2 linked regions of the Coturnix japonica genome follow. The main gene of each other region encodes a partner of the protein of the gene in region 2 in a complex. Links are inferred from orthologs where the notes say so. Each region holds a gene or a part of one and is shown on either strand. Other genes may lie near its edges. The genes, in order: WWC1 and LATS1.

Region 1 (4,313 bases), on a different chromosome or scaffold from region 2:
GGAAATCCGCTTCCAAGAAAGTTTGGGGGTAGATCAGAGGTTCCCCTACAAGCTGCAGAGAATGCAAGGACAGTGCACACACCGGTATCCAGATACCCGTCCCCAACACCCATGTCTGATGGAAGCACAAGCCTCATTTGCGGTACTGAGTTGGTGCAATTCCAGCTCTTAAACATCACTGTAAGTCAGACAGCAGCCAGGGCTGATATTTCTGAGACAGGCTCTTACTCTGATCTGCCATCCAGCACAGCAGCTTACAGAGCAGGTGCATCCCTGCGTGAAGGAAGCAGCTGGGACAGCACTCCAATATGCTTTACCACATGCTGGTGGATGCCTGGAAAATCATGCTTGCTTCTACAATAGGAATAACAAACTGACTTTTCTCCCCGCTCAGTAAGGCTGGGTCACCCACCACACTGCCTCCAAGTCCTGAATTACCTAACTCAGGACAAATTTGTGACTAGAAAAAAAGTCAGTTATTTCTGCATTGTTTTATATAGAGAACACAAGATTTTTTTTTTTTTTTTTTCCATCTGGCCACCAGAAGTGCCTCACAGCTTCTTAACAGGAAACCCTGCCTACAGGATACCCAAACCCTCGGTTACACTGTAGCACAGGTACAGCAATGGTTACATTACCAACTCCCTCCCATGATTCATCTCTGGATGATTTCCCTAAACGCTCTAAAATCCACACGCTCCCCAGGACTCCTCACCTGGAACAGCCCTATGTGATGCAAGGCAGGAGGCACACAGCGGCCCTGGCCAAGCTGTCTGAGCATCACACAGGACAGTGACTCACCCAGGACTGCTGTGACTTTGCCCCACTTGAAGTGCAATGGCCCTTCTAACCAACAGCCCATCTGAAGAATGGGTGCAGCGAGCTACAGGAGAGCAGGCAAACCTGCAGCGATCACAGTGCCAACCCAAGTGCAAACCTGTCACCAGCTGCTATCGCACAAACAATGGGCAAGCCTGTGCCCTGAAGCTACATGGTATCCCTGCTCATGGCTTTTTCCACTAAATTAAGCTAGAATGAAAGACTTATGGAGGTTTAAAACCTGCATGCCCTTTCCTTAGCCACCAGCTGTTGCTCACTGAATAAACTGACCATTCTGAGGGCACAGTCACACCGAGATCTCACCATAGAGAGGCAATGGGGTTCAGAACGAGCCTTCAAACATAAACCCTGCCCCGCTTCCCTGAAGTCTGCAGTTTTACAGCCATGCTTCCCAGTATCTACTGCTTCCTCCTGGATCAAAGACAGCACACATAAGCAGAGCACAGGGAGCACTGCAGCACCTCTCAGCTGCAGCTACTTCACACACAACTTGCAGGCAGAGAAACACAGAACACACACCATCAGATGCACAGCACCTAAAGCCAACCCTACCACCGCAGGGACAGTCTGAGCTGCTCAGAAACTCCCATCACCTGTTGTCCACACGGAGCTGTCTGTCATCAGCTGAAAAGGAAACTTTTTCTTGCAAGTACAGCAGCCCATGTCTCAAACTCATTCAAACACGTGGTCCCCCAGGTGACAGGTTCCAACCACATTGGTGTTCTGAGGCAGGAGCAGCGCCTAACAGCCTGTAATGAGTTCCTGGTTTGCTGCTGGAAGGTGACTCAGAAGCAAAGCTCGTCGGGGCCATGTGTATTCAGGTGCATTGCTATGTGCACAACAAACACGTCATGTGATAGGGCCTGTCGGTGGTGAATGCTCTCCTCTAACAGCACTGAGCACTCAGCTCTGCGTGGATAAGGCATCTTCAGCTGCTTCTGCCTCTGACTCACAACCACAGACACATCAGAACAGCTATTAACTACTATCAGTCCTAACAGCTCTCACTTATCTTCACCAAAAATAAAGATGCCGAGAAAGTATCTCCAATTTAAGCTTATAACAAATTTTATCAAGGTTAAAAGCCACACCATGGCACAAACACTCTCCCTCGACTCTTCAAATTGCTTCACTGAAACATCATTTCAAAGCGTGCTCCAAACGTTCAGCAGTCCAACAGGTTACACGTTTGTCACCGGGATACACGAGGATTACTGCTGGAATGCAGAACACTCCTTAAAACCCTGTAAAACCGCACAACTCGCTGCCTTGCAACACAAGCTGAGCTACGCAGCACTGGGATAAGGCACAGCGCCGCATCACACGTGGGATCCCCAACGGGAGCCCCTCAGAGAGCAGGGACTGAGCAGGGGGGAAACCAGTGGGCTGCGGGAATACTTAACGACGGGGGTTGGGGGTAAGCCTGTAAGGTGCACCCAGAGCACACCACGTTCAGTGCTTGGGAATGCAGCTCGTCCGGGCCGATGTGTGAGTTGTGAGCCAGGGATTCCCGACACGGAGCCGCGCTGTGCAGCACCTGAGGCGGAAATCGTGGGGTTACCAGGACCCCGCAGCGCCCAACAACCCGCGCCTGCTCGGCACGGCGAGGGACAAAGAGCCGTCGGGACGCGGCCGAGCGCGGGGCGGTTCGCTTCGATCCCCGCGTTCTTCAAAGTGAACAACACCGGGAAAGAACCCACGGGGAACACACAGAGCACAACCGAGCGTCCCGGGAGGCGGCGACCCGCGCGGAACTGAACTCAGAGCACCGCGGCACCGCCCGACCCGCGCCCTGCAAACGGGCTCCGTGCGGCAGCCGCTCACGGCAGCGCAGCCCGGAGGGACACGCCGCGGGTCCGGCCGCTCTGGGGCCGAAGGAGGACGGACACGGCGCAGGTGAGGGCGGGCCCGGCCCAAGGCGGAACGGCGCAAAGAGGCCGGGCCGGGCGCCGAGCCCCGCAGCGGGGCCGCACGTCGGACAGAGCGCCGAGCCCGACCCCGCCCCAACATCGCCCACCTGTCCCGGGGGTCGATCCAGCTGGTCTGCTTGGTGTTGTGGTCGATGTAAAAGACTTTCCCGTCGTAGTCCCTCGCCTCCTCCCAGCCCGCGGGCAGCGGCAGCTCCTTCCGCGGCATCGTCTCCAGCTCCGGCCGCGCCGCCCCATGCAGCGCCCCGCACCGCGGCGGGGGCCGAGCCCGGGACGGGGCCGGGCCGGGCGGGCGGCGAGGAGCGGAGCGCTGCGGAGCGGGGCCGCAACGGCCCAGCCGCGCAGAGAAGCGCCCCGGGCGGCGGCGGCGGCTGCTCACATGCCGGACCCGCGGCGGGGGCGGGGCCGGGAGGGGGGGCGGGACCCGGCGGGGCGGGGCGGGGCGGGACAGCCGACGGAACGAGCAGCGCCGGGACCGGGACCGGCCCCTCCCGGCCACGCCGCCTCGGGCCGCCCCCGAGCGGGAGCACCGCCCCGCGGCACCGCCCCGCCTCGCCCCGGTGTTGCGGGCAGCGCCCCCTGCTGGAGGGGCGGAGGTTCAGCGGAGCCGGGACGGGGGCGTGTCCGCGGGGCGGGGGGCGGCCCGCCATGTTCTGAACGTCACTTTTACATGGCACAAATCGGCTCGGCCGTGCTTCCACTGACCTGAGGGAGCGCCCCGTGTCGTCTTTCTCGGTCCACCCGGCACAGCACGACGGGTCGCCCCGCGCTGTCCGTCAGTCGCGCAATCACGGCGTGCCGGGGCCTGGCACGGACGTACAGCCCCACAGCTGCGCGCCCCGATCGCCGCCCACGGGCTGCGGCCGCGCGGGGTCCGGTCCGAAGTATCACCGAACGCGTTAAGGTGGGGGCGGCACCTCACAGCTCACAGAAGCAAGAGGGAGACTTCTTTCTACTTCTGATAGGAATTTTTGACTGGTGGGAAGGCCTGGTTTATGTGATGTACTGCTTTATAGCATTAGGCGATGTTTCTTGACATTCTGATTTCAGTTCTATGATTTCTTCTCTTAACCAAGCACAGTGTGTGTGCCTGATTGCAACAGCACAGAGAGCTGGGCTGCAGCAGATTTCCATGCTCAATAATAAAATTAGGCTGGAACCTGCCAGGAGCCATCGTCTGAGGATATAAAATGCCTGTACATATAGTTTCTCCAATAGCGAAGCTGCTGAGCTGCTGTAACAGCACAGGCAGTGTAATGGTTTGCTATCTGCCACCTCCTGATGACTGAACTGCCACTTCCACTGTAAACCCTACCAGCTGAGGGGTCATACGTTGGCTGTGTTCTCCTGCCTCTCTCCAGAAGCTGGCACACAACTCTCTCCCGTGGTGTTTTCACCACTTCAGCATTGCTTTCTCAGTCCTTGCCTCAAGCTCTGCAGCAGAAGCCTGACTTCAGCCCTGAACAAATGTCAGCGGAAGTCAGGACACTACAGATTGGGATAAATGGTCTCCAAGCATCAACTGCATCACTGAACCAGTTCCAA
Region 2 (3,808 bases):
AAAAAATACAAGTATCACAACAACTAGGGGTAAAAATGACTGAGATCTGAGTATCATTCCTCGGATATAATACACAGAATCACAGAATGACCCGGGTTGGAAGGGACCTCAGGGATCATGTAGTTCCAACCCCCCTGCCTGGCAGGGCCACCAAACACACACATTTACTAGATCAGATTGCCCAGATTGCCCAGGGCCCCGTCCAACCTGGCCTTGCAAAAGGATATACAAGGATATTGTTTAGGCATTGTACTGAGGGACACAGGTTAGAAGGAAATATTGGTGATGGGTGGACTGGATGATCTTGGAGATCTTTTCCAACCTTGGTGATTCCATGCTTCTAATACTTAGACAAAATGCTAAAAGCAATCAGATATTTTAAAAACAAGTCTTAAATTCACACCAAAGACACTCATGTTTCAGAAGAATTCTATTATACACTTCACAAATAATCTTCAAAGCAAAATCCTGTATCTCAGCACCTCCTCTCTTCTACTCTGAGCACACGACAGAGAGTGCTAGGTTCTAATTTGCTATTTTGTATTTTTCACCAGTAAGAACACAGTTAATGAGTTGAAGTGCCACAGATGCACCTACCTGGTGGTTTCATACCTGCATTTACAGGTCTTGCTGCAGCTGCAACCATCTGCTCCCGACGAGGATCCTGGTAGCTCATTTTACTAATAAATTCGATGGCTGCTTCTATACTACGGTTGTTAGTTTGTCTGAGGGCTTGTATAACCATATCCTACAGGGAAAATTAAATACAAAAAGTTACTCAAAATGGCAAGAATAATAAAAATCACAAGAATTTAGCCAAATATCCTCCAGTAATTTTACAAAAGTACATAATGACTTCTCTCGATCATCTTAAATATAAGATGACAATGTTTTCTCCACAACAGATCCTCCAAAGAAATTAACAGCCTGCATCTTCTGAAAAAACAACTATATTCTGATATTAACTGTGTCACCATGCTATTCTTATAGTTTGTCTGTCTAGGTATTTATTTGCTATATGCATTACTCAGATAACAGCTAGAGCTCCCACCTAACTTAATTTATTCTATAAAAGATATTCAGATGTGTTTCAGTATTTTGGCATTTGCTCATTTTTCTTCAACCTGGAATATCAACAAATATCCTTTAGCTTCTCCTCAAGTATTTTTCACTAGTAAATATCACAGTATCATCAGAAATCCTGTTACTTTTGTGGTGGGGATTTGCTGCGTCCTCAAGAGATCCAAAGAAAAGCTTTGATCAGATGAGCAATCCCAGGTTTGTCAATGGAAAATGCATCATAGATCCGCGGTGTTTCTCTGGACTTGAATGAGACTGAGGTCAAGAAACAGGCGATCGAAACAGTCAGGCACTCCTCTCCCATTTTTATTGAATGGTATTTTGCAGTTGACTTAGAATGTGAAAAAAATATACAGAGTGACTCCCTTTAATTAACCGCTCTGCCTTCCAGTGATCTGTTATGGCCATACTTTGTCATACCAAAGCCATCATTTCAGTTCACATTATTTTCGAACAAGTCACCAAATTACAGCAGTATATGGCAGGAGGGCTGGAACTGGATGATCTTTATGGTCCCCTCCCAGGCCAAGCCATTCTATGATTCATCTGCCAGTGAAATCAATGGGAAATCCAAAAGGGCTCGGAAGGGAGGAGGGCTCAGAAGGGAGGAGGTCAGTATCAATTTCAAATTCAAACCCACATTTATACTTCCATTACATCTGTATGTTTTTGGCACTGCAAATGTACAAAATACGCAGCCTTCAGAAATGATAACAAAATGAACAAAACAGAAAAGTATACATACACACACACACACACATATATATATATAAAACAAGATAGCCCTGATGCTTACAGATCAGGTGTACATTGCTAGATCAAGAAGTTACAACATTTGATCTCACAGCTTCTTCATGAGACACTTACACCTGCAACATTTCAACTTGATTGCATCCAAGAACAAAAGGTTGGAGAGCAAAAGGCTTCAAGACACAAAGGCTCCAACAGAAATACCAACTTGAGATGGTTTTCTAGTTTACTATCCAGCCACAAACCATCCCACAGCTTGTGAAACTGACTGGAGACCCATTCTGTAAAAATGGATACGAGAGCTAATCTATTGTAAAAACCAAAACCACTCCAGCAGCAAACCACAGATAAGGAACAAATCATTATAAAATCATTTGTCATTATAAAACCCTTCCATTCTTACTGCAAATCCAGCTTAATCTTTGCATTTGGGCAAGCCGGAGGAAAGTGCATTTTTTTCCACAAGCAGCACCTGATTCTGGGACATTACTGAGGAAATGCCAATTGACAGAATTACCCAGGTTGGAAAAGATCATCAAGTCCAACCGCAGCCTAACCAGTACCCTAACTCTAAAAACCTTCCACTAAATCATATCCCCGAGTACCACATCCAAACGGCTCTTAAACACATCCAGGGATGGCGATTCAACCACCTCTCTGGGGAGCCTATTCCAGTACCTAACCACCCTTTCTGTAAAGAAGTTCTTCCTAATATCCAACCTAAACTTGCCCTGGCGCAACTTGAGGCCATGATAGTAGAATTATGAATTTACCTTCTTGTAAACTTCAAAGTCACGGCTGGAGAACTGTTCCTGAATGAAACCAGATCCCTTCGTGTTGTGTGGGATTTTAGTTGATGATACGATACTGACTTAATAGTTACATTTCACACTCATAAGGACTGCTTGATTGTTTGTAACTTCTAATTGTAAACAGTGGAGAAATGTTCCCCTTCTTTATAAACTGATCTGCCTGTCTTCCCTATTTTCTTTTAGGAGGAAGAAGTACTGCCTATCTTTCCCACAGCACCATTAACCAGTCTGTAGTAAGTGCCTGGCTAAGCAACGATCCAACCAAAGACCGAATGGAAATCACCAACCTCATTCCAAATCAGACTTTGTCTGTGAATACTTTAGATGTTTTGGGAGCGTGCCTAGTGTACGGTACTGATGCAGAGGCTATTTATGTCAACAGACAACTTTTTGCATGAAATTCTTCCAGTATCCCTTTCAAGTGCTGATTAACTACAGAGAAATGTTGTCCGTAGCTTTGGAGATATTCGCTCCCCTTAACCTAACCTCCCTGTGAATACCAAAGCATCACAGAACATTTTTCCCTCACTGGCTTTCTAATAACAGATGTGAGAAGGCCATTAAAATTTGTTCCTGAAATACGTGCTATTGCCTATCACTTTAGGATGGCCATACTATCAGCGTATTTTAGTTGTGCACAATTTAAAATCCTGTTGAGTATCAAAGGCAAAATCCATGTTCTGAAGTGTCCACCTCTCTCTAAAACGATTTACAGAATTAAAACAACCCCTACCATGTAAGAACACACTGAAAATGGTGCAAAAAAATGAAAAATGCCTCTTTAAATCTGTTCCCCTTCTTCATCCCAGCTTCATTAAGTTCTAATTAGAACTCTGCCAGATTTCAAAGCTATTTTGCCCATCATATGCTGTTTAAACATTCCATGACCAACACCTCATCCAACACACTCTGACAGTTTTTAGAACACTAAAGCCTGAACATTAAATACTTCACCTCATCAAAGCCAGCAGCTTGTAAGTCTTGCAGCATTTGTCGATTAACTTCTGACGTTCCTTTGACAGCTGAAGTAGTTTCATTTGCAAAGGGCAGCAGCGAGTTTCTTATCTCTTGCAAAACTTTATGATATGTTACAAATTTGGGGGGATTTCGACCTTGTCGAGGATCTTCAGATGACATCTTCCCCATGCTGAGATCAGCTTTAGCAG

Evidence for each region.
Region 1: the proteins of LATS1 (region 2) and WWC1 are in contact, whole or in part, in a crystal structure (PDB 6J68), measured with the Mus musculus proteins. The link is inferred for Coturnix japonica from reciprocal best matches to the Homo sapiens genes LATS1 and WWC1. Residues at the interface, in NP_034820.1 of Mus musculus: Ala546, Glu547, Ala548, Pro549, Ser550, Tyr551, Gly553, Pro554, Pro555, Pro556, Pro557, Tyr558, Leu562, Leu563; in NP_740749.1 of Mus musculus: Asp17, Tyr23, Ile25, Asp26, His27, Arg30, Thr31, Thr32, Ser33, Trp34, Asp64, Val67, Tyr70, Ile72, Asp73, His74, Lys77, Thr78, Thr79, Gln80, Ile81.

The regions. Positions count from the first base shown.
Region 1 is NC_029528.1:7,344,090-7,348,402, forward strand, and holds the start of WWC1 (protein KIBRA), read right to left. Parts: upstream 3,059-4,313; 5' UTR 2,977-3,058; coding exon 2,858-2,976; intron 1-2,857. UniProt on the Homo sapiens protein: Regulator of the Hippo signaling pathway, also known as the Salvador-Warts-Hippo (SWH) pathway.
Region 2 is NC_029518.1:43,382,518-43,386,325, forward strand, and holds part of LATS1 (serine/threonine-protein kinase LATS1), read right to left. Parts: coding exon 3,597-3,808; intron 749-3,596; coding exon 598-748; intron 1-597. UniProt on the Homo sapiens protein: Negative regulator of YAP1 in the Hippo signaling pathway that plays a pivotal role in organ size control and tumor suppression by restricting proliferation and promoting apoptosis.